Linked DNA regions of Oryzias latipes. The protein of the gene in region 1 purifies or fractionates together with the protein of each later gene. This does not show direct contact. Links are inferred from orthologs where the notes say so. Each region holds a gene or a part of one and is shown in the gene's direction. Other genes may lie near its edges.

The links.
Region 2: the proteins of ctnna1 (region 1) and tes purify together in Homo sapiens (affinity purification with mass spectrometry; 3 studies listed by BioGRID and IntAct, with this or other methods). This does not show direct contact. The link is inferred for Oryzias latipes from reciprocal best matches to the Homo sapiens genes CTNNA1 and TES.

Annotation. Positions count from the first base shown.
Region 1 is NC_019868.2:19,932,246-19,936,070, forward strand, and holds part of ctnna1 (catenin alpha-1), read left to right. Parts: coding exon 1-3; intron 4-1,159; coding exon 1,160-1,316; intron 1,317-1,829; coding exon 1,830-2,030; intron 2,031-3,409; coding exon 3,410-3,558; intron 3,559-3,825. UniProt on the Homo sapiens protein: Associates with the cytoplasmic domain of a variety of cadherins. The association of catenins to cadherins produces a complex which is linked to the actin filament network, and which seems to be of primary importance for cadherins cell-adhesion properties.
Region 2 is NC_019864.2:2,898,489-2,902,313, forward strand, and holds the end of tes (testin), read left to right. Parts: intron 1-1,759; coding exon 1,760-1,975; intron 1,976-2,053; coding exon 2,054-2,212; intron 2,213-2,866; coding exon 2,867-3,058; 3' UTR 3,059-3,765; downstream 3,766-3,825. UniProt on the Homo sapiens protein: Scaffold protein that may play a role in cell adhesion, cell spreading and in the reorganization of the actin cytoskeleton. Plays a role in the regulation of cell proliferation. May act as a tumor suppressor. Inhibits tumor cell growth.

The DNA of each region.
Region 1 (3,825 bases):
CAGGTACAAGGGCATTTGTAGTTACTGTTTAACCAGCTTCCTGGTTGTTTAAACGTTTGCCATATTCCATTTATATATATTTTAAGAATGCCAAGTCTAAATTTTGGGCGGCCGTGGTGCAGCGGTAGGGCGGTCGACCCATGATCGTAAGATTGCAGGTTCGATTCCCGCCTTGCATGCCCATGAGTCGAAGTGTCCTTGGGCAAGACACTGAACCCCACCTTGCCTCTGGTGGTAGGCGGGCGCCTGTGTTTGGCAGTGGAGCGGCCACCAGTGTGTGAATGTGTGTGTGACTGGGTGAATGGGTCTGTGACTGTAAAGCGCCTTGTCCTTGTAGGAAGAAAGGCGCTATATAAGCATACGCCATTTACCATTTACTAATTGGTTTTGTCTTGATCAAAGACAGTTTCTTCAAAAGCACTAAAAAATATCGCTGAGCCTGTTTTTATGCACTAAATATTTTAATATTATTAACCAATGTAGCAAATTCTTTTTTCCAAGTAATGTAAAATCTGATGTTCCTTATCCAATGACTTTATTCATTGGTTGTTCCAGACCAGAAGCAATTGTCGTTTCTTTCTTTGTGGAGTACAAATGGAGAACAGCAGAAAGGTGTTGTGTTACAGATGTATCAGGTCCCACATTAGTGTGGCCAACACAACGGCTGCTGGTGCAGTTAGATGACTTTTTATTTCTTTTGTATTTAATGTTTCAGGGGAAAGAGTGTTTGAGTCAGGCCACTACGCATGTACACAGTTCTCCATACTAAATTCAATAATTACCATTTAGACCTTATTTTCTAATTTTTGTTGAATTTACCTTTATCAGATTACTGTGTTGTCCAAATATTTTGGGTATGCTGTTTACTCCCCTCTACCTCTCATGTATTTGTCCATTGTTGACAGACGAGACGTATGACTTTAAATGTATAGTCCTGTGTGTCCACAACTACTAAGCTTTTATTGATGCATCATTTTATCAGAGTACTATGATTGCAGCTCCGTTCAGTATGCTGACAACTACACTTGACGGACCTTTTGAGAAGTATCTTGACCCTAGATTAAAATCTTGTGTAAACTGAGATGACGCTTATTGCACTTAACCTGTGTTCAGAGCTTTACTGTAATTGATCTGTAGTGATGGTAATTTTCAATTCTAGGTGATCAATGCAGCACTGGCCCTCGCTGCCAAACCCAATAGTAAGGTGGGCCTGGACAACATGGATTTGTTCAAGGAACAGTGGGAGAAACAAGTCCGTGTCCTCACTGATGCTGTTGATGACATAACATCCATTGATGACTTCCTGTGTGTGTCTGGTAAGAGTTGTTTATATGGACAGTGGAAATCTGGTTTAACTTTTTCTTTTTGATTTAAATAAAACTAACTATTTTTTACTTTTAAACAGTTTTAAACATTTATTTATCTGTTAAACTACACTTAGCCTTTGTTGTGATTCCTTTACCAGAGTTGTTTACTGGCTGGAGTAAACGTTTACATCTGCATCTTTACCAAATATATTTTACTTAGTTTGCCTTAAACGATTTTCATTAAACATTTTAGTAGAGTGACTTTTTGATCATTTTGTCAAGGACAGATTGTGAGTACTGCAAAGTTCCATATTTTGTTGGATTTACGTTATAAAAAGCTGAGAATTTCCCTCTTGACCATGCTTCCTTGTGGTTCTTTAGGTTTTGAGTGTCTAGTCAGAACAAGAGAATGAGAACATATCCCTTCCATTATGTTTTTAAATGTGTTTCACCCATATGGCACAAGGCACAGTTGTTGTTTTTCATAATGCTAAAATGTTTTTTTTTACGCTTTCTTCTCAGAGAACCACATCTTGGAGGATGTGAATAAGTGTGTCATTGCTCTGCAAGAGAAGGACGTTGATGGCTTGGATCGCACTGCTGGGGCCATTCGAGGACGTGCTGCCAGGGTTGTTCATGTGGTCACTTCCGAAATGGACAATTACGAACCTGGAGTCTACACAGAGAAGGTTTTGGAGGCCACCAAGCTCCTTACTAACACAGGTATTTTAAAAATGATCTGATGGGGTTTGTAAAAGAAAAGCATAAAGTTTCATCAGCCCCATTTTCTAAGCATTTTTTCTTTACAACATATTTTTCCTTTTAAAACCAAGATAAAATATGTTGGAGGGAGTTGAAATTGAATAATGACAGATCTGGAGTTGGCTCAGTAAATAAAAATTGCTTTCTGAAGTACTCTTCATTGTAATGTCGACTGAGTCAGACATCTGCAGCATTTTCTATTAGGCTGCCAGATAGAACTGAATATCTTAACCCAACTTGCATCATAGAAGTCATTTTGTCCAAATAATGTGGTATTTCATTAGCCAGCCAGCATGTATGATATGTGTTAACTTCCATTACTAGCAGGCTAACATGACAGAACGATTTTTTCGGTTGTCAGATTTAGAAATGGCTCAGCCCTCTTGAGAGTGAGCCCATTAACAGTCAGCAAATGCAGGCTGATTGTTATCTGAGGATTTCAGCTGAGGCTTGGATTTTCACGAATTCAAGTTGCCTTTTAAAAAAAATTCCTAATTTTACGATTGTCCCTAAATTCTAGTTCTTTCCTGCTCCGCTGTGCCATTTCTACTGAATGCTGATTTGAGCACATTTGAAAGGAAATTCCTATCCTGATGCTGGATTCCAAGATCACTATCAAAAGCAAAAGTATTTATTGTTTCTATGGTGTGTCATTTTGACAAACTCGTGGTAATGCTGCTTTTCTGGAAGGAAGAGGTCCTACGACAGTCCAAACTGCTGATGTTTTTGCTTCATTTTATTTTCCCTTTTAACCAAACTATGTTAAATGCTTTTATTGGGTGCATTTTTGTACTAGAATGTAATTTCTTCCCGGTTTCTTTTTTTGTTAATGGGAAGTAATTTGGAAGATTATTTTTAAATAAGCTTAGAAAAATGATCACAGCCAAAATCTGGTTATGGCCAGATTACCATATTTCTTTTTCTTTCTTTCAATATTTTACTTGATTTACATTTCTATGCAGAAGCCTGCAGGTTGTAAATGCTTTGTAAGCTCTAAACCAAATCCTCTTTGTGCACTATGCTCTACGCTGCCGCTCCCTCCCTCTACATTTGCATCCTGACATCCAGGCCTCACCCAAGAGGATGCAGCTAAATCCTAAAAACTGAACTCTAAATATTGCTGAATGCGTGGCAGAGGCTTCCAGAACTGATATCAAACTGTCACCGGGCCAAAATACACACCCAAAGAGACTGCTTTATTGTTGTAGCTTGTTGTTGTAAAACTCCCTACTTAACTGCTGTGTATCTATGTACCTCAGAAGCAATGTCTTATCTTTGTAGAATGAAGGTTTTTTTTTTTAATTCCAATTATCTGTTCCACTTTTAATTTTTCCTTTCAGTCATGCCACGATTCACACTGCAGGTAGAAGCTGCAGTCGAGGCCTTATCCAGTGGCGACCCCTCAGTGGATGAGAATGAACTAATCGATGCATCCCGTCTGGTGTACGACGGCATCCGCGACATCCGCAAAGCAGTCCTCATGATCAGAGTAAGTATTACAGATTTTCATCATCCCCAGCGTGTACACATGTTCATGTTTAAGGTTTACTCATCAACATTCAAATAAATATTTCAAAAAGTATTTTTGCTCGGCTGCACAATCTTAAAGAATTGCTGGAACTTTTAAATACTATAGTATGATCTAGGATTAGAGGGTCTTCTCCACAAGGCTTTGTTTACTAGGAAGAATGGTTGGCTTTTAAAAGCCTGTGATTAAAATGTCTAAGGAAAAAGCTGTGCTGCCTGAATAAACATG
Region 2 (3,825 bases), on another chromosome or scaffold:
TCACCGCTTTGACATTTCCCACCAAGCCTCTTCCAACTGTAGGTGGTGGACATGTGCTAGTGTGGGGTAGTGGACCACTGAACACTAAATGCTAAACGTGCGTTTTTGAACCCGTTTCACATGCCTGGGAGTGAACGTAGCATCAGGTACATTAATGAGACAAAAGAGTCAGAGATAGGTCTGTCTGTCAGTCTTTATTAACTGTGTTCACAGCAACTCTAGAACTTGTTTGTAACACGCTACACCTTAGACATGATAGAAAGGTTAGCCGTGTTGGCATATTTACCTGTAACTCCCAACCTTTCCAACAGGTACAAAAAAAAACAGACTGATATCACTAAAACAAACATTTCTTTGACTACACCCACTCCAAACCTTGGTAGTAACTTGCAGAAAAACACACAATGTGACACAGCTACACATTAGCCACATTAGCGTATTCACACTAACACCCAAAGTTGTTTGGAACAACAGGCAGAGTAGAGTGCCTTGTTTTTCCGTAAAATTGCTTTGACATTAGAAAACGCAAAAAGATTTAATCCATACATTAAAAAAATCAAGATTATAAAGCAGAGTGTCAGTTTTTAAAAAAAATCATGGCTTATAAATATAAACGCACCTTAAAGTGCATAAAGTATGGTATACAAAAGGGATGTAACGGTACGCTAAAATTTAAGTTCTGTTCGGGTCAGGATTTCATAGGGCTCAGTTCGGTACATTTTCAATATTTTTTTGGTACAAAAAGGCAGAAGAAATGTTCTTGCAAAATGCATTTATTGCTTTTATATAACAATAAATACAGTTGACCTATGTAGGTGATCTGCTATATAAAACAATACAACTATTGGCTGTCAGGAACCAAAAACTTTGGATACTTAACACTGGCCTGAAAAAAAAACATTTTAACTTGCACATTTTTTTTGCTTGTAGACCTGATTAATACAGTTGAGTGATTTTAGGTGCGTTAGCAGATGTGTTTCTGTGGCATATGCTATCTTCATGTAACAATGTCGTGTAACACACAGAATTCGACTTGTCCAATTTTCTTCCCCTTCAGGCAGACAACAAATCCAGTGTTCCCACACAGTAGGGAGATGGGGGGGGGTCCTTAAGTTCTGTCCTCACATCTGCATTAGCCATGCTGATACTAATAACATGCTCACTGTCACCTCCATCACCTAATAGCTGTTGAACCTGAACTGCGATGACGTTTCTGACCTTGGTCCGAAAATGCAGGGGAGATCTTCTCCGGGGCCAAAGGCGGATCTTCCTTCTGGGTTTGCTTCCCCGTTCAGACCCTCAGAGCCTCCAGAGCGGGTTGATAAAAGAACCAGTCTCCTTTCTTTTGGAGGAAACCGTTTTTATTACCGTTCCGTCGAACTGAGCAACACCCTCTTGCGGTGCCCCCCTTCCTGCAAACGCGCGGGCAGCGGCTTCAGCACAGACAACATGGCGTCTCGGTGGAAACTCACGGTTAACATTAGTTTCGCCTCGGCGCAAAGTTAATGCCTTTGGGGGGGAGGGAACCCCCCTCCTCCCCAAAAAAACCCCCGAAACATTACAAAAGTGAACTGAACCGAAATTGCTGTACCGAAACGGTTCCGTACAAATACGTGTACCGCTACACCCCTAGTAGACAATAACCAAACTAGAATTTCATGGACAACAAGCATCAAAACATGCAGACCAAGTCCAAACAGGAACAGTTCCTTTGAAAAGCTGAATTCTGCAGTCATCTTGTCCCGTATGTCCTTCCCAGTCATGCCATCATTGCAAGCAGCCCATGCAGCAGGGCGAGCCGGCCGTCTACGCCGAGCGGGCCGGCTACGACAAACTGTGGCACCCCGCATGCTTTGTGTGCTGTACCTGCCACGAACTGCTTGTGGACATGATCTACTTCTGGAAGAAAGGCAACATGTACTGTGGACGCCATTATGGAGACAGCGAGAAGCCCCGCTGTGCCGGCTGTGATGAGGTAATGGCTTTACCTCCTCTTGAATGTCTCTGCACAGTGGATGACATGAGGAAACATTCTTGTACCCGCTTTTCCCAGCTGATCTTCAGTAATGAGTACACCCAAGCGGAGGGACAGAACTGGCACCTGAAGCATTTCTGCTGCTTTGACTGTGACTGCATCTTGGCTGGAGAAACGTATGTGATGGAAAATGACAAACCCATCTGCAGGCCCTGCTACATGAAGAACTACGCTGTGGTGAGTCGCTTTCTCTGATTGGAGAACAAGCTGTTCTCAAGATCATACATTTGTCTTCTCTCTGCGTATTTTATTTATTCATTTTTTGGTTTGTTGTCTAGTATTTTGTATGCAGTAAATGAATAAAGGAAAACACATTGATAAAGACTTGTTCAGATAATGTAAGGGGGGTTAGGGTATTGCTCTTTGACACATGACAACTTTTCAATCAAATATGCGATCAACAGGAATCAACAGATTCTGATGCGATGAAAAGCAGCTTTTCAGATTGGCTTTCTGCCGATTCAGAGCAAATTACGCCACACATTCCTAACAAAGTCTTGAATAACGGCGTAATGCTGTTTTTCTCTGCGATGGAATTGGAATTACATTAATTGTTTCAATGGTTAAAGAGTTTTGGGATATTCTAAAGAACGTCAAAGGGTTAAGGAAAAGACTCCATGAAAGATGTTTCTAGAATGTTTTTTGTGTTTTTTCCGTCTTAGTCTTTAGTAAAGTCAAAAACCTTCATACCTACTCTCATAAACATCAACACTTCTTTTAAATTCCACTTTCTGATTTTATGAACATGTTCATGTCAATTTAAATGTCTCTGACAGAGTCCAGTATAAACATGGATCTGATCTGACCTGATCCTGTCGTTCCTCTGCACAGAAATGCTCATCCTGCCAGAATGCAGTGGACCCTGAAGCTCAGAGAGTTTCTTACGATGCTCTCCACTGGCACGCAGAACCGCGGTGCTTCAAGTGCTCTGGCTGCAGCAAGAGTCTGATCGGCCAGCGCTTCATGGTGGTGCAGAGTTTTGTCTTCTGCTCTGTGGAATGCAAGAAGAAAATCCTGAACTAGAGCTCCAGACCGTCCAGAAAAACCAGACCAGAAGATGGTTTTCACTGTATGAGACCTACACTGAGGAAGAGGTTCTACTGCTATTGGGGTTTAAGGGGCGTCCTCCTTCTTTGTTGCATCATTTGTGTAATTTTTGGTTCAACCTGTGTCTGTTTAGTGGAGTTTTGGGAAATTCTCACCAGAATCGCCTCCTGTTTATTTTTTAGGAACGTCTTTATGACACAGACACTGGAGGAGTATCCATCAGGGTTCGCTCCAATCACAAAACCACCACCTGATTTTTTTATATGGAATTTATGATGAGGTCTTTAAATTGAGGAACTTTTCATATGGAAAACTAGTTAACCAGTTGGATCTTTTCTGCACTGATTGTGGGACCAGGTGTAAAAACCTGCTTCATTGTTCACCGGATGTTTCCTGCTGTAGTGGATAGTTTCTCCGCTGCTCAATGCGCTACTGATCTGAGGTTTAGTCCTTCAAGTTTCTTAAAGAACATATGACTGAAAACGTAGATGCTTTATGAACAAAAGCTTCCAGGTCATGAATAGTACAAAAAAGGCAGACATGTAAATGGCTTTTCAAATGTTTGTAACTCAACCAATTCCTTGTATTCGTTCAGTGGAACGTTCCAGATAAGCAGAGAAGTCTAATGGAACTCACCTTTGACTTTTTGTCTCCATGGGAATAAAGAAAACTCTGCAAACTAAGATGGAAGCCTCATGACTCTTCTGTTCATGCCTTTTGTTTTGTGTTTTGGATTTTAAGAA